Arabidopsis thaliana: one gene and its partners. The protein of the gene in region 1 interacts with the protein of each later gene in a pairwise test. Each region holds a gene or a part of one and is shown on either strand. Other genes may lie near its edges. The genes, in order: STY1, AT5G18037, AT4G05170 and AT5G62610.

Evidence for each region.
Region 2: the proteins of STY1 (region 1) and AT5G18037 interact in a two-hybrid assay, tested with the Arabidopsis thaliana proteins (one large-scale study listed by BioGRID).
Region 3: the proteins of STY1 (region 1) and AT4G05170 interact in a two-hybrid assay, tested with the Arabidopsis thaliana proteins (one large-scale study listed by BioGRID).
Region 4: the proteins of STY1 (region 1) and AT5G62610 interact in a two-hybrid assay, tested with the Arabidopsis thaliana proteins (one large-scale study listed by BioGRID).

The regions. Positions count from the first base shown.
Region 1 is NC_003074.8:18,962,329-18,967,479, reverse strand, and holds STY1 (Lateral root primordium (LRP) protein-like protein), read right to left. Parts: upstream 3,352-5,151; 5' UTR 2,875-3,351; coding exon 2,181-2,874; intron 1,769-2,180; coding exon 1,350-1,768; 3' UTR 1,075-1,349; downstream 1-1,074. UniProt on the Arabidopsis thaliana protein: Transcription activator that binds DNA on 5'-ACTCTAC-3' and promotes auxin homeostasis-regulating gene expression (e.g. YUC genes), as well as genes affecting stamen development, cell expansion and timing of flowering.
Region 2 is NC_003076.8:5,970,488-5,974,081, forward strand, and holds AT5G18037 (NAC (No Apical Meristem) domain transcriptional regulator superfamily protein), read right to left. Parts: upstream 1,080-3,594; 5' UTR 1,042-1,079; coding exon 826-1,041; 3' UTR 614-825; downstream 1-613. Other genes in the region: AT5G18040 (target of trans acting-siR480/255 protein), read left to right, coding at 2,469-2,565, 2,735-3,135, 3,228-3,488.
Region 3 is NC_003075.7:2,666,875-2,671,341, forward strand, and holds AT4G05170 (basic helix-loop-helix (bHLH) DNA-binding superfamily protein), read right to left. Parts: upstream 2,568-4,467; 5' UTR 2,548-2,567; coding exon 2,306-2,547; intron 2,217-2,305; coding exon 1,982-2,216; intron 1,892-1,981; coding exon 1,730-1,891; intron 1,631-1,729; coding exon 1,565-1,630; coding exon of another isoform or gene 1,547-1,564; exon of another isoform or gene 1,478-1,546; coding exon 1,427-1,477; coding exon of another isoform or gene 1,412-1,426; exon of another isoform or gene 1,311-1,411; coding exon 1,116-1,310; 3' UTR 924-1,115; downstream 1-923.
Region 4 is NC_003076.8:25,132,096-25,138,025, forward strand, and holds AT5G62610 (basic helix-loop-helix (bHLH) DNA-binding superfamily protein), read right to left. Parts: upstream 3,971-5,930; 5' UTR 3,904-3,970; intron 2,812-3,903; exon of another isoform or gene 2,786-2,811; 5' UTR 2,506-2,785; coding exon 2,206-2,505; intron 1,891-2,205; coding exon 1,684-1,890; intron 1,602-1,683; coding exon 1,536-1,601; intron 1,455-1,535; coding exon 1,386-1,454; intron 1,315-1,385; coding exon 1,237-1,314; intron 1,148-1,236; coding exon 1,022-1,147; 3' UTR 753-1,021; downstream 1-752. Other genes in the region: MOS14 (ARM repeat superfamily protein), read right to left, coding at 256-378; AT5G62620 (Galactosyltransferase family protein), read left to right, coding at 5,041-5,926.

The DNA of each region.
Region 1 (5,151 bases):
GCATTCCATATTTATATATTTCTTAGTATGTAATATATATAGGTTTCACATATATGATATATCCACTATGAGAATCTGCAAAATCTCTATCTATTAATATATATGTGTGTGTATATCATCGTGTAGGGTGTAAAAATACATCTCATGCAAGGATGCCTTATATATACGTAAGCTTACATGAAAGGTAAACTCCTTATGATCATTAATTTTCTTCGACCATGTTACCTTACAAGTTATGATTGATTTAGTTATACAAATAAAAATAATATCGCGTCCATTTGAAATTAGACATGGTTTTGACACTGATCATGCATATAAGAAAAGTTTAATATCCTATTGTATTCTTACAAAGGATGTTAACTTTTAAATTATATTTTATATTAAATTTCTATTTAAGTAATTTTAAAGAGACAATGAGATCATTTCTTGACAAACGTTACATTTAAATCATTAAAAACCCTTTTTAAAACAGAAACATTCCCTCAAGATCATGAAAAGACTTATTTTAAAATAGAGAAAGATTAGTAGTATTGTTCAAGACTTCTAGTCAATGTGAAAGAATAGAAAAATCAAAAACCTGATAGTAGAAATTAACTAAATCATTATAGTAAACTAGTAATGAAAGAACTAATGGTGTGGGCAACGGCGGGAGAAGTAACTAATTGGGATTAACGTACATTGTAGAACGCACCCTCATGTCACATCTATACATGTCGCTCTTCTAGTCATCTTCTCTGATTCTATCACATGTCAATTATGGCATACATCAATTACTAGTAACTAACAAATAATACACTTTAGAAACCATTAAATGCATGGGATGGGCAGACCATATTCTGTCGTAACGGAAACCATGGTTGAAAAAAATAAAAAATAAAATGGGTTGAAAAATATGAAATTGTACTATAATGTATGGTACAAATGTAATGAATTCTTCTTTATATTGAATAGAAGAAAGAAGACACAAAAGGTGTTATATAAAGATGAAAAACATTTTCCCCGGATTCTAAGGTTACGTGTTTCACAAACAAGAAACAGACACATTAATGAAACAAAGATTCAGACAACAAGAGCTATATTGTGCTCCTAACATTTAAATGATACACAACACTATATCCTCACAAAACCATATAAAAAGACAATGGTATTATTTGAATTGAATTTCCATTTAAAAACCCCTAAAACTTGCAACAACTTTGAGTGTCTAAAAGTAGGGGAAGCATAAACAGATTCACTTCCCCACTTCTGCATACTCTTTTATATAATATGATCCGACAATTAACGTTTATAAACCCTAATTCTATTCTAAGAATTCAAAAGAGTTATGTTGCTTTTATGTCAGATTTTCCTCATGATCTTGGGTTGGGAAAGAATTGTGTACCGGCCATGAATGTATTGATCGGAGTTGGATAAAGAGCGGCTGGATCAATGTACGTGGCTGCCGCGGCTGATGAGCTGCCAATACCACCGAGGTTTGGAGTAGAGGAAGAAGCGGTAGCAACGGTTACAGAGCCAGCTGTTATGAGATTCAGCTGTTGAGCTCCACCACCACCAGAGGAGCTCTCACCGGCGGCAACAACGTTGTAGCCTCCGCCACCACTACTTCCAGGACCGAGGTCGTATAAAATGCCTTTGAAAATGTGACCACCAATGCTTACAGCTGTTTGGTAAGCAAACTCTTCTTCTCCATCTTCTACTGAGCTCACACGCACGCACCTAAACACCGCCGATGAACTCACCTCCGCCGGGAAATTGCCAACTTCTAGCCCTAGAATTTAGAGTAAGAAAAAAAAGTTTAAGAGATACGTAATAGAATAAAACATTGATATTCATTTTTTCTTTCAAAATTAAGGTTATGAAAAAGGAGCTGAGAATTAGAGAAAGAACACAGATTTCAAGATTTGTGAGAACAGCTTGTTCCTGTCATTCCAATAGTCAGTGTTTACTCCAACACAGTATTTTCACAATTAAATCACAAAATAAAAAACAAAACTTATTTTGGAAAACTTATAAATCAAAATAGGGTTTTTCTTTTTTTACTCTAGAAGCTGATCCCAATTCGTTACTTATATAAATTATAAAAAATGCTGCTTGCATTTCATTATCTCACGACCATATAATAATAAACATATATATTTATATACACATAAATAAATATTTCACATTACAGTGACATATACCTGAATGAGAAGGTATGCGAGTGCAGACAAGAGACGATGAAGTTGCCGGTAAATTTTCACGGTGGCGTTTAGGAACGCTCTCACCGCGAGGCAGCTGAGTTTGAGGCTGGACCGTAGCTAATTGCTGTTGTCTCTCACGGCGTTTAGCAGCAGGGACCCACGTGCTTCTCACGTGAGTAGAACACTCGAAGCCACGGCTTTTACAACAAGTTCTACACCTCATGTGAGAACAATCTTTCTTCGCTTGATTCCCACAGTCTTGACAGCTCACACCACCACTTCCTCCTCCGCTACCACCACTACGAATCATCATCATCGCCGCAGCTCTTCCGGCGCCGGCGGTTGAAGTTTCGCCGGAGATATCGAATTGGTTATGATTACTTGGTCCAACACCTAAACCTGCGGCGGAAGAGTAAAGATCCAACCTTTGCTGATGTTGCTGATGCTGAAACATGATCTCTTGCTGATTGTGGTTTTGCCATAACTCAAGTGTTCCTAAAGCAGCGTTTGACGAAGAAGGAGCGTTTGCGTTAACGTTTGTGTTTGCGTTTGCGTTAACGTTAGGGTTTCTATACCAGAGCCAAGCTTCTGATACAGGCGGAGGAGGATTTGTGTTGCTCCGGTGATCTTCTTGGTTGTTACCTCCACCTCCGCCTCCTCCTCCACCACCGTCTAGCGAGAAAAACCCCGCCATTCACCAAGACAACAACCACCACCCATAACCACCACTCACCCACTAACCAATCAAGAAAATGGAACAAAACCCAAAACCAAAGATCCTATGTTTTGTAGTTCTATACACTCTAACTTTCTCACTCTAGATCTTAGAGGATTTCTAGGGTTTTTAGGTTGAATTCATTCTCTGGGTTTGTAGTGTATTGAAGTTGGAATAGCTTTTTGAGACTCTGATGAAAAAGCAAAACTTGTTTGTCGGTACGAGAGAGAGAGTATTTAAGAAACACACAGAGATATGTAAGAAGGAAGAAGAAGAAGAGAGATTTAAATCATCTTTCTTGCGCTCTGCAACGCCGCCATGACCTTATTAATCTCTATATCTCTCTCTCTCTCTCTTCTGCTCCTCTAATTTAATTCTCTGTCTCCTCTCATCTCTTCTTCATTTGTTTGTTTCTTTGTTTTGTTTTTCCAGATTTTGCAAAAATATAATTTTGTTTCTCTCATGTTTTGTTGTTACAAAATGAAAACAATTCATCTCTTATCGTTGATATATAATCGGGCGGTTATTATGCTGCCACGTTAGCATAAAATGGATTTTTCTCTCTTGGTCCTTTTCATTCCGGGAAACCCGCTTTTTTTCTTTCTTCTTTTTTTCTTACATATATGAAATTTTTATATGTATAAATGGTGGAATGTGAATAACTAATTTTCCTTAAAAAGGAGTAAAAATAATATCATTACGGTATCAGAATACTATTTTTGATTATCCTAAGATAGTTCTATATATATTTCGGGACCTATTAATTAGACCTCCTAATCATGATCTAGAACTGACTACAAAACCTTGTCAAAAGTCCATAGGTCCATTCATTTTTATTTCATTTTGTGTATATATGAGTGACTATGAGACTAATTGTGACAAATGCTGCAAATATATTATTGTCTACGAGTTAGGAGCATCAGCAAACTAAAAATGCCTGAAAAAATGTAAGGTACTTCAAGGTTTCAAAAATCCTCATCAAATAGATAAACATGTGGATTAAATAATCTAACTACTTACTTTAAAGTAAGGAGGATTTGCAAATTATAGGCATTAATCATCCATTAGCCCATAATCTTCTTTTAAAAAATATTAATTTGGGTGCACCTGTGGCTTAAATTAAGTGTTTAAAGTTTGTAGCTGAAAAGCAGATGCTTTTGTCCATGTTTCCGAGGAAACGAAAAACATTATGATATACACATTTCTGTATATACTAGTAGTATATCACAGTAATATTTTATATATAAATAAAAATGCACGTAAACATACTCTCTCTTGTAGAGAGACAAACGTACGATTTTGTTGAGGTGCCCTATGTTACTGCATTATCTTTTTGTATAATAGTACTACTAAATGTTTACAGAATTTATATACAGACAAACACACCTCTATGCCCGTGCCGTGAGCATCATGGATCCTAATTTAACTAATCATTATAATTAGCTGAGTATTTTTTTAGGTATTATCCTTTGAATTGCCTGAGAATAACGGCACGAAAAAATATGTCCCGATAAATCCGAAATCTAGAGAAGTATGTATGGGTGTCATATAAATAAAAAAGTTAGGACATGAAATAAAAATAAAGTAAAAGATGGGGACGTTTAAAAGGATTTTGCCAAAAGAGTAGAGAGAGTTGACTAATGTAGAAGGGGTTAAATGAGACATTTCAAAAGTATTAAGATTCAAAATGGGAATAATGAATAGTTTGAGACAGGGTAAAAGCATTGCCTCGCCGCCCTACGCTTCCGTACCGGTTCTTGATTTAATTTACAAATCCAATAATTTAAGTTAATAATCGAATGATTATTATTGCTCTCAATTTGAAAACAATAGTTAGGTTGTTCATTATATATCGATATAGTTTTAGAGGTAAGTAAAAAACCACAAAATATTCGAGTATACTAGATTAATAGAGGGAATCAATTAATTCAAGGGGTTGTGATGGATACATTACAATCGAGACAATGACCTTTTTTCTCTTTTGACAAAAAAAAAAAAAAGACCTTTTTTCTCCAGTAGTCTATTCTTTATTTGCTACATTACAAAAATATATAAATGTCAAATAAGTATAAGCATCATTTCGGAATAATAGTTTCAGGCAGAACCAACCAGCAACCAACACACAAAATTTATAACGGAGTTTCACAAAAAAAAACTTTTAATTTGTATGGAATTTGAATAAGAGATGGATGGAACTGAGAAGCCTATGAATCTGGAGTAGATTTGGACTATGACGAAACTTAGGATGTTATCGAA
Region 2 (3,594 bases), on another chromosome or scaffold:
GCGGGAAAAAAAGTTTGCCGGAATTTTTTTTTTTGGCGGGAAATTGAAAGTTTCCAAGTACTTGTTATTATTAAATGAGGGTAATTTGGTCATTCTGTTCAAGAAAAAAGATATTTTTAAAAATAAATAATATAAAAGAGTATTATGGCAAAAAGGTAGTCAAAAAATATAGTTTTGCAAATCTCCCATTAATTTAACCAATTTCTTATCCATTTCGTAGGCCAAAGTTTCTCTTTTTCCTTCATAGGCATGGATGGGCCTGATCATTATTAATATCTCATATATTAGATGAGATAATCTCTTTGATCCTCAAAACAAGAAAATATTTTTTCGTTTGTGAAAACAAGAAGGTGAGCAGTTACAAACTCCTCATAAAAATAATGATCTACATGTCTTTAAATAAACAAGAATATACGAGATTTTCCTAAAGTTTTTATGAGGAATTTAAATAAATTATGCAAAGGGAAATATCAAACTAGACACAAAATTGAAGTAAAATAAGATAGAAGTAGAAGTTATTATCCTCTTCACTGAAAATTTACCAAGACACATAATCATGGTCCTTTAAGGTGGCAGAGAACTTGAACATGGAATAATGAGCCACCGTTTTCGAGATAGTATTCTGTCATGGTCCAACCACTGGCTTGTCTCTCACCTTTGACGTAGAAACTTAGACTTCTTCCCAATCACTGCACCGGTATCTTCCAACACGACATCACTCAACTTCCCATGGCCTTTCCAACATCCATCAACCGTCTCTCCTTTGACTTTGCGGCTGATGCGTTTTCCAGTAACGTTTTCAGAGAGATGATTCACTTTCACGAACTAGAACCATTCATTAGGTTCCAAAAAGTTAGTCTCGGTGTGAGACAACCGCCACGGCTCTTTGGCATAGATGTCAAACTTGTCTTCTAATTCAAATTCTTTATTTGATCTTTTGGTAACCTTAGGCCCGATATAACGGATGATGAGTTCTTGGGCAGAAGGATGAAACCAAAACCCAACATGTTCCTCTTTATCGTAGTACTTAACCATCGACATATTCTTTTCTTGTTCTATGAGACAAAGAAAACGCAAATCAGACAAAAAGTTAAGGATCTATATATTATAGCAATAATCCAAGGGGAACAACAAATGATCTTTAGAGCAAAACTGAAAAACAATAATAAACGCGTTGAAGACTTGAAACTTTCAGGTAGACAAATAGAAAAGGTGATTTCGTATATATATGTGGATTTTAAGGATTTTTAATATATTAGGAAAACGATTCTTTAAAAAGGAAATATATCCATGTAATTCAAAGCCAATATTCTTAAAATTAGATAAGTAAGCCAATATCACATTTTTTCTTTTCAAATTTGTAATGTTGGTTTTAGCGTATGATATTTTGTCTACTATTTTCTTTTTAAACTTATTTTGTCTTATATCTTTTTACAAACTAAAAAACAAGATTATTCTTTTACTTATCTAAATAATGTTCAAAGACTGGAAGATTTCTTGCTCTTCTGATATGGAGAGATACTTGTATTAGTACTTGAAGAAGCTTATGCCTCAAATATTTTCTTGCTCTCCAAAAAATGCATTGACATGATCGTGATCGGTTGCACAAAAAATGGTATCCACTCTCTAAACTTTTAGAACAAGTACTCTTTCAAGAAGAAAGAGAAAAAATCTATTTACAACGAATAAGTCGATGTCTAACTCGGAAAAACAAAATGTTGGATCATCATCATTGGAGCCTAAAAGAAAATTGTTGTTAAACTATAATTGTTGCCCTTAAATAAACAGGCAAAAACGATGTTGTTAAAAAGACTTTTAAAAACATTGGCAATGTCATAAAAACGGCAACGTTTTAAGGAAAGTTTCAAACGTCGTCGTCTTGAGGACTAAAGTTGAAGTCTTAAAAAGGCGACACGTTTCGGGACAAAGCTGAGGGGAAATCTTCGCGACGACTGTGAGAGTTTGTTTCGCGAACATTCTCTGAGTTTCTCTCGACGCGACGGCGATTGCGAATGTCTTCTCCTTCTGATTCTCGTCTCTCTGTGTCTCCGGTAATTTCTCTCAATTTTCTCTCTCTGTTGGATTCTTTTAGCTTGTTTTGGATTTGTTACCGATTCTACTCCGTGACTTGGCCTTTCTCAGTGCTATTAGTGAACAGAGATAAACTTTAGGGTTTGAACTTTTTTTTTTGGATGAATGATTTGAATCCTTTTTAACGTTAGAGTTGTTCTTTGTTAATGGAAGCTATCATTGTTACTTTGGTTTACTCTAAAGCTTCTTGTTCGACGATTTTTCCTCTGCAACTAGAAATGGTTGTGTTTATGTCAAAACTTGAAACCATGTTTATGGTTTTCGCTAGTTAGGTCTTGTTTTTGTTTTTCCTTTTGCCTTATCTGCTTGACTCTACTGGATTTCTGAATGTGTTCTTCTGCTGGATTCTACTTGAAACCAGGGATAAGTAATCGAAGATGAATATGATTCAGCGATTCATGCAATCTATGGCAAAGACGCGTGGCCTCTGTCATCCAGATTGCGTAAAAGCAAGTAGTGAGCAAGAAGATTACGGTAAATGAATCAAATCTTGTTCTAGAGAACATTACTTTATTCGCATCGTTAAGAGATACTGTGATTGATTTTAGCTGATAGTAGTTTACTCCCTTTTTAATATAGTCTAATCCTTTGAAAGAGTCATATGAATTGACTACAACATTTTCATTTTTTTTTTGTCTTGCAGATGCGTCTCAGCTCAGTATTTGGTGGATAATGCTGGGAAGGAAGACGACCAGGGAGAAATGGATGAACCAAGCTCTCAGTTCACTATCGAAAACTTGCATCAGTATATGGTGGAAAATGTCTGGAATAAGAGGTAAGATGTGCAGGGAGAGGGAGCAACCACTCACTGTCAAAGACTGCCTTGAATGTGCTTTCAAGAAAGGGCTACCGAGAAGAGAACATTGGGCACATGTGGGATGTACATTCAAGGCTCCCCCATTTGCTTGTCACATACCCCGCGTGCCCATGAAAGGAGAAGTGATTGAGACTAAGAGTTTGGATGAAGCGTTTAAGCTGTTGATTAAACAACCGGTGGGTGCAAGACTCCATGTGTTCAGTCCAGACCTTGATAATGTTGGAGAGGTAAAGTGTTGTGAGATAAATTTCGAAATTTTCAAAGATCAATGACAAAGTTTTGATCTAATCTTATTCAACCTTTTTTTTTTGTGTGGTAGGGAGTTTACGAGGGCCTGTCTAGCCTGTCTCGTAAGGAATCACGCTATGTTGGACTTAGGGATGTCATCATAGTTGCAGTGAATAAGTCCGAGGGAAAAACTGTTGCTACTGTGAAGATATGTTACAAGAAGAAGACTTCATTTGTCAAAGTGTGTTTGAGCCGTATGTTTGTCCAGCTTGGTGGTGGCGAGGAGTCTCAGGTGAAAGAGCCAACAGGTCTGCTTGTTGACTTCTGTATCCCACGCTTATCTATCAACTAAACAAGAGCTGAGATCTTGGAAAGTATCTCCTAGTTGTGGAACCTCTCTATGTTGGTCTCATTTTAAGAATGTTTTATCAGACTTATTTTCTGTTTTATGTATTTTG
Region 3 (4,467 bases), on another chromosome or scaffold:
ATAGATATTTACATTGGAGATGGTCTTAGAATCTCTAGTAATAGATATTTACATTGGAGATGGTCTTAGAAGTTGTACCAATGGACACAAAGTAGCTATTTTTGGTATAAAGTGTTTCTTGTTAAACCTCACCTTCTCCTATTTCCAAATCTCTTGATCATACAAGCTAAAATAATAAAGTACACAACATTACTTTGCAGTTTGCTAAGAATCTTCCAACTGAAAAAGTCAATTATTTGGGACTCATCAATTGGTTTACACGTAATGTTCATGCAGGGTTGGCTCTGAGTTCAAGCTGGAAAAGTTGAGCTTGGAACCTCAAATTCTTTCATCATCTAAGGGCCGCTAATATTGTTTAGAAAGGTTGGTAAAGGGTTTGTAGGTGGAAGGTTTGAGATGCCCCTCTTTTCCAGTCAAATACTATTTTTATTAAGTTATTAGAAAAAAATTATCCGCTAGGAAGAGTCATTCGGGAACCGACGTGCTTACATGAGAAAAAAAACATTTCTACTCTTAGCTTTTTTTGCTAAATGGTCTGCTCGAGTGTTAAAACTTCGAGAAAGAAATCTAATACAAAAAGAAGGAAAAAAAAAGCAATAAGAGATCGAAAAGAGGCTAATTATATAAAACCTTTTTCTAGTTAAACTAATGGGTTATATATACATTTACTTTGGAATCCACATATTTTTAAGGCCGGCAATACGATTATCTAATTCGTATTTAGATGAGAAATTTTCATTTACAAAGGAATTAAACATTTTCTGGTTGGCCTCAATTTAAACCGTTGTGCAACATACACTAAACTTCAGGTTTATTCAAAAAAAAAAAAAAAAATTATTTGCAGGTTTTTATATTGTATTTTATAATCCAAATGCAAAACCTTCGGTTTAGTTTGACATTTACGTTTATAATTAACAAATTTATTTTGCTTCAAATAGTAGGTTCATTTAGAGAAAAATAGTAAACGTACGCAAACAAACAATATATGATTTTGAAGTATTACAGGACATTTACATTTCTGTATAAATTAAAAAGGGACATAAAACTTTACAAGATCCCCTGTTTGCGGAAGATTACTTTGTTTGTTTATGTATCTACGTATTTAGTTTATAAGTTTACAAAGAATGGAAGATGCCAGAAACCAGATGTACGTTCATCTCTGCAGCCGAAGCCGCAGCTGCAGCCACGGGATATGAAGCTGAGATCGGCATTAGACATAGTCCACGGCTCGAAAGATCTACATATCTTCTTGGACTACATTCGTCTTCTTCTACTTCTCCTTGAGTATTGATAGATTTCTTGTTTGAACACTATTAATTATACGAATCATTAATTGGTGATGATTAGTTTTGAAAAGATTCTTGATGTCACAAGCAAAAGGACAAGAAAAGAGAGTTGTTATAACATATAACTAATTTTTAAGTACCTGCTGTTGTTGAACAGATCCTATGGTGTTCTGTTCTGGATTACTCAATACCTAATTTTTAAATTAAAGAATCAAACGAATTGTTAATTAATTGATTTGATTTTGACTGCAAATGAAAAATCAAGAATCTGAACTTACAGTGACTTGTTCTTGAAGAAACTTTATGTACTCTACAGCTTCGTTGAGAACAGAAGCTGTATCTGTCTGCAAAGAGTTTAGAAGACAAATCTTTTGAGCTTAAATAAGAAGAAATCAAAGATTAAACATGCGTAAAATACTTAGAGTAATGTTGTTTTAATTTACCTTGCCAAATGGAGAAACCAGTTGCTGAAGCGCAGTGATTCTATCTCCGAGTTTTTCTTTACGAACTTTGAAGCTTGGCAATGGAGATAGTGTCTCGAGTCTCGGTCTTTTTAGTAATCGCGGTGAATACTCATCGCTGTTCTCTTCTAATTCTTCACTCCTCTGAAAGAATCATCACATCTTTTGTAATGTTAATTACCTCTAAGTATTAGTCACAACAAAAATAGTTAGGTTTTTATGTTTGTTACGTGCCTTTGAAGTAAGATTCTTGTAGTCTTGTGTAATTTGCTCCTTAGACGACTTATGGTTTCTGATTTCATGATCCAACAAAGATTCAGCTTCTGAATCGACCAAGAACATGTTATCTAAGAATGGGAAGTTTTCAAGGAGCTCAGATTTAGCGTTAGGAATTGTACTTTTGGACCATGGATCCGGTAGTAATTGATCGTTAGGATCGATTAATAGTCCTTCGAAGAAACTATTATGCCTACAAGAAATATAAAAGAAAGAATATAAATTTAAGAAAGTTCAATATTATTACTTTGTATGTTAATGTATGTATGCATGTGGACTTACATGTTCATACAACCATCATTATGATCGTTAATCTTGTTATCGAAGTTTTGCCATCCGAAATTTGTGACATCAGGGCTAATCTCAGTGGAACATGGCAGCGAGTAGCCAGAGAATACTGCGGCGGTGTTTGTTGGCGAGCTCCACCAAGCTCCGGTGGAGATTCCTGCGATCTCAAACTCTTCCGTCATGTTCTTAATTGTGTAGTTTACTTTGGAATTTAATGTCGAAGTTGCATGAGACATGATGTTTATTACATAGTGTATTTATATGTAGGCATGAGTCCATCAAAATTATAATTTAAACGGAAAACTACAATTACTAAATAATATATCTAGCTACCCTCTTAACCATAATACGTCTCTATACCTATTGATGATTATGAAAATAACGCATCTCATTGGACACACTCTTGTGTTCGTGTTTACGTTAAATTATAGAGTAATCTATTTATTAAAAATCATTTGCAAATACTAAATACAGGAACAGGAAGTTGACAGGATATAAATAAAATAAAAAATAATCAAAAAGTATTTTACGTTAATATGCTTTTGTAAAACATGTTTGACAAAATTAAAGAAAAAAAAAATTCTGAATTGATTTAAAAGGTAAGAATATTGTAACACAATGCAAATATCTCTTTCGTAAATCAGAATTATATATTTGCTCTTGATAGGCTAAACTAAATGTCCACGTTGAACAAGTTTTATTGTTTAATAAAAACACGAATATCTACTTTTTTGGAATGATTTGAAAATATTCATGTTTGAAGGAATTAGATAAAGCAAAAAGGATATTTGGATTTTGGTGAAAGGTTTTCTTTTTAAAATGGTTAGGTAATCTCTATTTATTTGGTTTTCTTCTAATTTTACGTTTAAAAATGTGCACAAATTAATAACATTAGACTACAGAAATACCGATTTCGATTTAAAAAAAAAAAATATTATTTGACAAAATCTTGCAAGGAATTTTGAAACAGTGTGGTAGTTTTTTGGAGAGAAGTCCACTCTGAAGTATTTTAGTGCGTGTTTACCGGGACTGAGCGGATCAGCCGATAGAGTTTATCAAAAAAGAAAAAAAAATCTGAAACGGTTTGGTCTGGTGTTAATAATAAATGTTGCAAAAAAAAAAATATAACAAAAAGGACATAAAAGGTGATTCGAAATAAATGAATAAGAGGAAATTCACATGAATAAATAAATAACAATAAGTCAACTGTTGACATATAAGTACAATTAGTAATAGGTAAATACGTTTTGTGTGGATTAAGTCATACCACCCAATCGAATTCTCTTGGGTTTTAGGGGTTGTCTTCATTTTTACTTTGGAAATGTTCCCAAATCTTCTTTTAATATACATACAATATATGCTCATGTCATCTGATTTGACTCCTTAACCACAATTCCACTATTAGTTAATTGAAATATTTGGTTAACCTATCTAATCTCATATTATATGATTATTATATGTATATCTACTTTTTTCCTTTCTTTTTATAAAATAATCAGCTTTGCGGTCTAAGTCAATTTGGCTTCGAGGGATACATAATCCCTAAACTAAACATGTCTAACTACTTAATTATAAGTTTTTCCTGTTAAAGTAAGACTTAGTTTAGTTTGAAAAAGTCCATATAGTACTATCGATCTCATCATAATTTTTTTAAATCATGTCATCAAACTGTAGTTGTAGAGTTTAAGATTTGATTAGATTTAGAAATATAGTGTATTTTAGGTTTGGTAACTGGTAAGTGTTCTTTAATTTATAGAGATCAAAGTAAATTTGGATGTGACTTCCGTTTGATAGAATCTTTAAAAGCTAATTAAAGTTTCGGTCAACCATATGACGTTTAAACCTTAAGCACATACAAAAACTTCTTTGTTGACTTATAGGACATGACAATTAAACGACCATGGTCTAACCTCCTCCTTGTCATATCATGAAATTTGTTATATCATTATACCTAATTAAAATCTAAAGTTTAGATTATCTCGCGCGTGGAGTGGGAAGAACACTTAGAAAAAGTGAAGCGATTAACAAGAAGAAGAATAAAAACTTATAAAAGTGTTAATGGTTTAAGTGTCCTCGGCCTTTGACCTAATCACACGTATATTTTTTATTATCTTCACGATCTATGTTAAAATATATTGTTCACTATAGTATGATTA
Region 4 (5,930 bases), on another chromosome or scaffold:
AGTCTAAAGTAACTCAGAAATGAACTTAGACGTACTGAAATTTTGAGATTTCTGCTATGCATAAGCCTATATGACCTTAAAGAGCAAATCACTAATACAAATTGACTAAAGGATGAAACTTTATGCACCTATATGGTCTACAGTAGCTGAAAATCGAACATTAAACTCTAGCACAAGTGCTACAAAACAAGGAAGAACAAATCGAACCTAAACAAATCGAGATTAAATAATTGAAATCGAAAAGAAAAAACTCGCCTGCCAAGCATCGAGAGTTCCTTGGAAGTTCTGAAGCCAGCGATCAGCGTGCACACGCACTGTATCATCCGGGTGATGATACAGTGCGTTTAGGGCTTCTTTGACCGCGTTCTGATGCTCCATAGCTATGAATCTTTACGCGTTATTCGCTCGTACGGTCACCAAATCACGACCAGAGAGAAAGACCCAGATTGAGAAATAGAAGAATTTGCCCAACTGAAATTCGGGATTTTGTCAAATCGATTTCGCCCAACAAAAACAATAAAAATAAAAACTTTTTTTTTCCCTCTTTGTCAAAAAGGTTTTTTTTTGGCGCCCCTCAACTTGAGTGAGGAAGAGAGATAGAGATCGAATTTTGATCTGAAAGAGGATGAAGAAGAGAGAATCTCAGCCGTTAGATACAATTACTTTGACTTAAAGTCAAATCCTTCTTCTTTTATTTTGAAGACAGAAGTTGTTTACTTTTTTTCAGTTGTTGCAATAAATTGAAGACAACAAAAAAAACGTATCATTGATTCATCATAACATAAAGATTATACAAAGGACAAGATTTAAGACCAACATATGTTACTGAATCAATTGTTACAAGTTATATAATAGGACAATACAACAATGTTTTATAAAGTGTTAATCTCTCTGGTCACTCTCATATTCTATCTTATGATATAACAGCAAAATGATACACACGCATAGGATAAAAAATAAAGGGTTGCATTCATTTTTACTGCCTACAAAACACATCCATCAATCAGAGAAAGACTCTTTTTTATGTGGTTCGGTTAAAGTTCCCATCAACCTGCATATGGAGCCACTCCGGTTGAGATACTCGGGTTTCATTAGCTTCTTGTTGCTCGTATATTGTTCGATGAACGTCAATCGGTAAAGTCCCGAGCTGATACAACACACCAAGAGCTTTTAGATTTAGTAGCTTTGATTAAGAAAGATAAGATTTTTCTATGTTCTTTTAGATTTGGGACTTACATCACCGGAAGGAAAAACTCCTATTGTCGGACCAGTACTTGCACCCGAGTTAACAACTTCTAGCTTCATTGATAGAAACTGCAGACCAAACTCCATGCTTAGGCATGTATAATTGTAACATATAACAGAGAGGTGTTAACGACTTTTACCTCAACTTGCCGCTGCAATGACTGAATATAATTGATAATCTCATCGAGCACAAGGGCTTTTCCGATTATCTGATCAACAGAAATATCTTGTTGAATGTTTTTTAGGCTATAATAACATCATTCACAAGCAGGGACCAAAAGAACATGTACCTTATTACATCCTGGAATTATATCTTGAAGAGCTGTCATCTTCTCACTGATCTTTTCTCTTCTAGCCTGTCAAAGACAACATTGTGATTCTAATAAAAGGAACAGTTTTTGAGGATAAAATTTATGGTGATTTTAGCAGAAGAATTACTCGCTCTGCTAAACTATGCCGGTCAGTAGCTTGTCCTCTTCTTGCTCTCACATGAATATAATCCTTTGGTGGCTCAGGTTTGTTCTTCTGTTCCGTTGCTTTGCTTCCACCACCACCCGAACTTGTTTCGCCTTCAGGTCTCATCGAACCATCTCCATTTCCACTTTCAGATCCACACAGTTTTCTTTTCTTATCCCCTGATTCTTTCTATTAAAAAAGTAAACAGATGGAAAGCTTTAAGATCCTAAATCAAACTCTCAATCTAAGATCACTAAGTAAGCATTGACCATTCCAACATCTATCAAACTAATGGTCTTCAAGCTGAATCCAACTTAAGTCAAAAAGTCAATGGAGATAAGTCATCTAATCTATAAACTAATCCTTGATCCCTAAACCAAAGACTTAAACTTTGACTCATTGATTTTTAGATCACCACCAAGCTAAAGGATCTAGATTCAAACATTCAAAAGACCCAACAAATAAAAATCAGGACTTTTCAAAAATTGAAGTGCAAAATCTCACCAATTCATTACCACTGCTGCTGGAAGAAACCATCTTTGAAGAATCATCCTCAGAGTTCAAATCTCTAGTCTTTCTACTTCCCCAGCCAGCAGTTAGATCGGTGACTGTAGATTCCTCAGCCGCGGAGACGTCTTTATTGCCGGAATGTTCAGAGCGAGTAAAGACTCGACCGGAGTTAACAGCTAAACGGAGACCAGAGCGAACGGCGTCGTTTACAGGGAAAGGCCAAATCTCGGAGAGAGTGTAAGAAGAAGGATTAGCTGCAGAGAAGGAGGAATCGTTCACTAGTGGAGGGTCCATTTCCGATGATCGTAAAAAGGGTTGACCCAGATTTAGGACCCGGATCCGAGAAGTGAGGAACTTGATAGAAAAAAAGAAGGAAAAGGTTTGAGCTTTGCGAGGTCTTGTCTTGTTTATAGGGTTGTGTGTGAGGTGGACAAATAGAGAGAGAGATCGGAGAAGGTAAGACAGATGTGGGTAGTGATAATGCGCCACTAGTATGCAATGGAAGATGATTTATCACCAATACTTTCAGAAAATCTCATTAATTACACAGCTTACATCAAATATTTTGCCGTTTCTGTTATAAAAAAAATATTACAATGGTAAAATTTTCGTTTCGTTTAGAAACAAAATTGAATAGAAAAGATATATTATGGCGCAATAACCTAAATAATTTCTATCAAAAATAAAAAATAAAAATCTCACAATTATGTCTTTTAGTTATCCTTTGATTAAATTATTTTTTACTGTGAACAACTTTGGTAATTTTACTGTGAACAACTTAAATACACCAAAGGACAATGCATCTCTCTTAGAAAAAAATACATACTAGCAAAACCAAATCATGTTACTTTGGTAATTTCATTCTGACGTGTTTAAGGAAAAAACGTATATGTTTGGATTAAAAATTTGATCTTCGTACCATATGTCCATCCTAGTAAGTACTCGATCGCCTATGTTTACAATAATATTCACCAATTAGTGTTTTTTTATTTAACATAGATCTCCCACTTCATAGTCATATGTTTTATGAAAGTTAGTTGTGTAAAGTGAAGGGAACCACACACCGGTACGTAGGATACGATCGAGGATGTGACAATGGGCCATATATTTAAATTTTAAATGCTTAATCACAAAAGCCAAAATTCTAGCTAAATATATAAAACGCTAATATGAAGGATAGATGACATGTGTTTTAGTCTTTTTGTTTGCATGTCAACGTTCTTCACGTTAAATTTTTAAAAATTCAGAAGCTATAGTTTTATTATGTTCAATGTAGTTTTAGCCTTTTTGGTAGATGACATGTTCAAGGTAGTTGCGGAAAAATACAAGGAGCCAAGAGTGTCATTTTTCGTTTCGATGATTTCAACCTTCATTTGTTGTGTTTATTATAAAAGTTTGTATTTTTGAATGATGAATACAGAGATATCAAACGTTTTTAAGAATACAGTATATAACAAACAAAAAAGCTCTAAAACTATTCACTGAGTTAAAACTTTTAAAAGTCAATTCTATAGCATTGAATGCTCTAAATGTGTAGCAAGAAAATTGTTTAAAGACCAACAAATTAGAAATTGATGTTTTTCTGCAAAACTTTTTTAATTATTAATTTTATTATCGAATTAAGTGGAATATGTTTATATTTTGATGAAATAATGAAAAGGTGGAAAAGACAAGTGTAGAAAGAGAAGACACCTGGATGCAAAGGTGTCACACATGAAGCCCAATTCCTCTCTTTCCATTTTTCCCATAAAGCTTTTTTGCTCTACTCATCAAGATACCTCTAATAAAAAAACAAGAAACACTATTTTTTTGTTATCAATTTCTTCTGTTCATTTCAGTTTGGTCATGAAATTAAGAAAATTAATAGAGAGAAAAGTCAAAAATAAAAACATGAGCATAGGAGTACTATGTGACTTCATTGGTGATGGAATGACACAGTTGGCCGATTTAGCACCGACTAAGTAGACATTAATCAATAATAGTTTAAATTTCAAAATAAGAATCATATCTACTAAACAATCAAATACATATGATTCCATCTACTATTATTGTTTTTTTTTAATTTATAAATCATATAGTACTAATTAACTAATAATTTCACATTCTGTCTCGTGTAATCAAGACAACCTTTTCGATTTGTTTTTTTGGTCGATTTGCTTAACCTTAAAAATCTTATTACTTCAATTATAAGATTAAAATTCGACAAAAACATAACGTTTTTCCTTTTTATTCTACTGGTGGTGGAAATAATCATCTAGAATAATAAAATTACTTTAATTTGAAAAGATAAATCCAACGAATCTATAACTTTAATCGAAAACTAAATAAAATAAGGAAAAAGAGAAGATTTAAAAGCGAAGAAAAGATTCGAAAAAGAGAGAGAGAGAGATGGACCAAAACGGCGGTTTATTCAGACGTCAGCAGCACTAACTAAGAAAGAGGAGAGAGCTTTAACTCTTCCCCTTGCTGCTTCCTTCTCCAAATTCTCCTGACGCGTTTCTGTTCATCTTACGATTTTACACGTCTCTCTAAAGATTTAAATTTTCGACTTTACGTTTCTTTCGGGTTTTGAATTTTCTCACTAAAGATTTGTCTTTTCCATAGAAAGTTCTTGAATTTTCTCTCTTCGTGTTCAAAGGGTTTTTCAGAATTTATAGTAACCCACCAATCTACTGATTGTCTCCGTTCATCGTAATCTCTCAAGATTTGATTTTTATTTGTTTTTTGAAATTTTGAATTTTGAGATTCTGTTCCTCTTTGATCATCATCACTAGGGTTTTCTGTTTCCAGTTAAAAAAAAGTTTGGATTTTTCTTCGTATAATTTAGGAATGAGGAAGCCCAAGTTGTCAAAACTCGAGAGGTTAGAGAAATTCGACATTTTCGTTTCTCTAAGCAAGCAGAGATCGGTTCAGATACTAATGGCGGTTGGGTTACTCTACATGCTTCTTATCACATTCGAAATCCCTTTCGTCTTCAAAACCGGGCTTAGTTCTTTATCTCAGGATCCGTTAACCCGACCCGAGAAGCACAATAGTCAGAGAGAGTTACAAGAGAGACGAGCTCCGACTCGACCTTTAAAGAGTCTGCTTTACCAGGAATCACAATCGGAATCACCGGCTCAGGGTTTAAGAAGAAGGACTCGGATCCTTTCTAGTTTGAGATTCGACCCGGAAACGTTTAACCCGAGTAGCAAAGATGGGTCTGTGGAGCTTCATAAATCTGCTAAGGTAGCTTGGGAAGTTGGTCGAAAGATATGGGAAGAGCTTGAGTCTGGGAAAACGTTGAAAGCTTTGGAGAAGGAGAAGAAGAAGAAGATTGAGGAACATGGGACAAACTCGTGTTCTCTCTCTGTTTCCTTAACCGGGTCTGATCTTTTGAAACGTGGGAATATCATGGAGCTTCCATGTGGTTTAACTCTTGGGTCACATATTACAGTGGTTGGGAAGCCACGAGCTGCTCATTCGGAGAAGGACCCTAAGATATCGATGTTAAAGGAAGGAGATGAAGCTGTGAAGGTTTCACAGTTTAAGTTGGAGCTTCAGGGTTTGAAAGCAGTGGAAGGAGAAGAGCCACCTCGGATACTCCACTTGAATCCAAGGCTTAAGGGTGATTGGAGTGGTAAGCCTGTGATTGAGCAGAACACTTGCTATAGAATGCAATGGGGCTCAGCACAAAGATGTGAAGGATGGAGATCTAGGGATGATGAAGAGACTGGTTA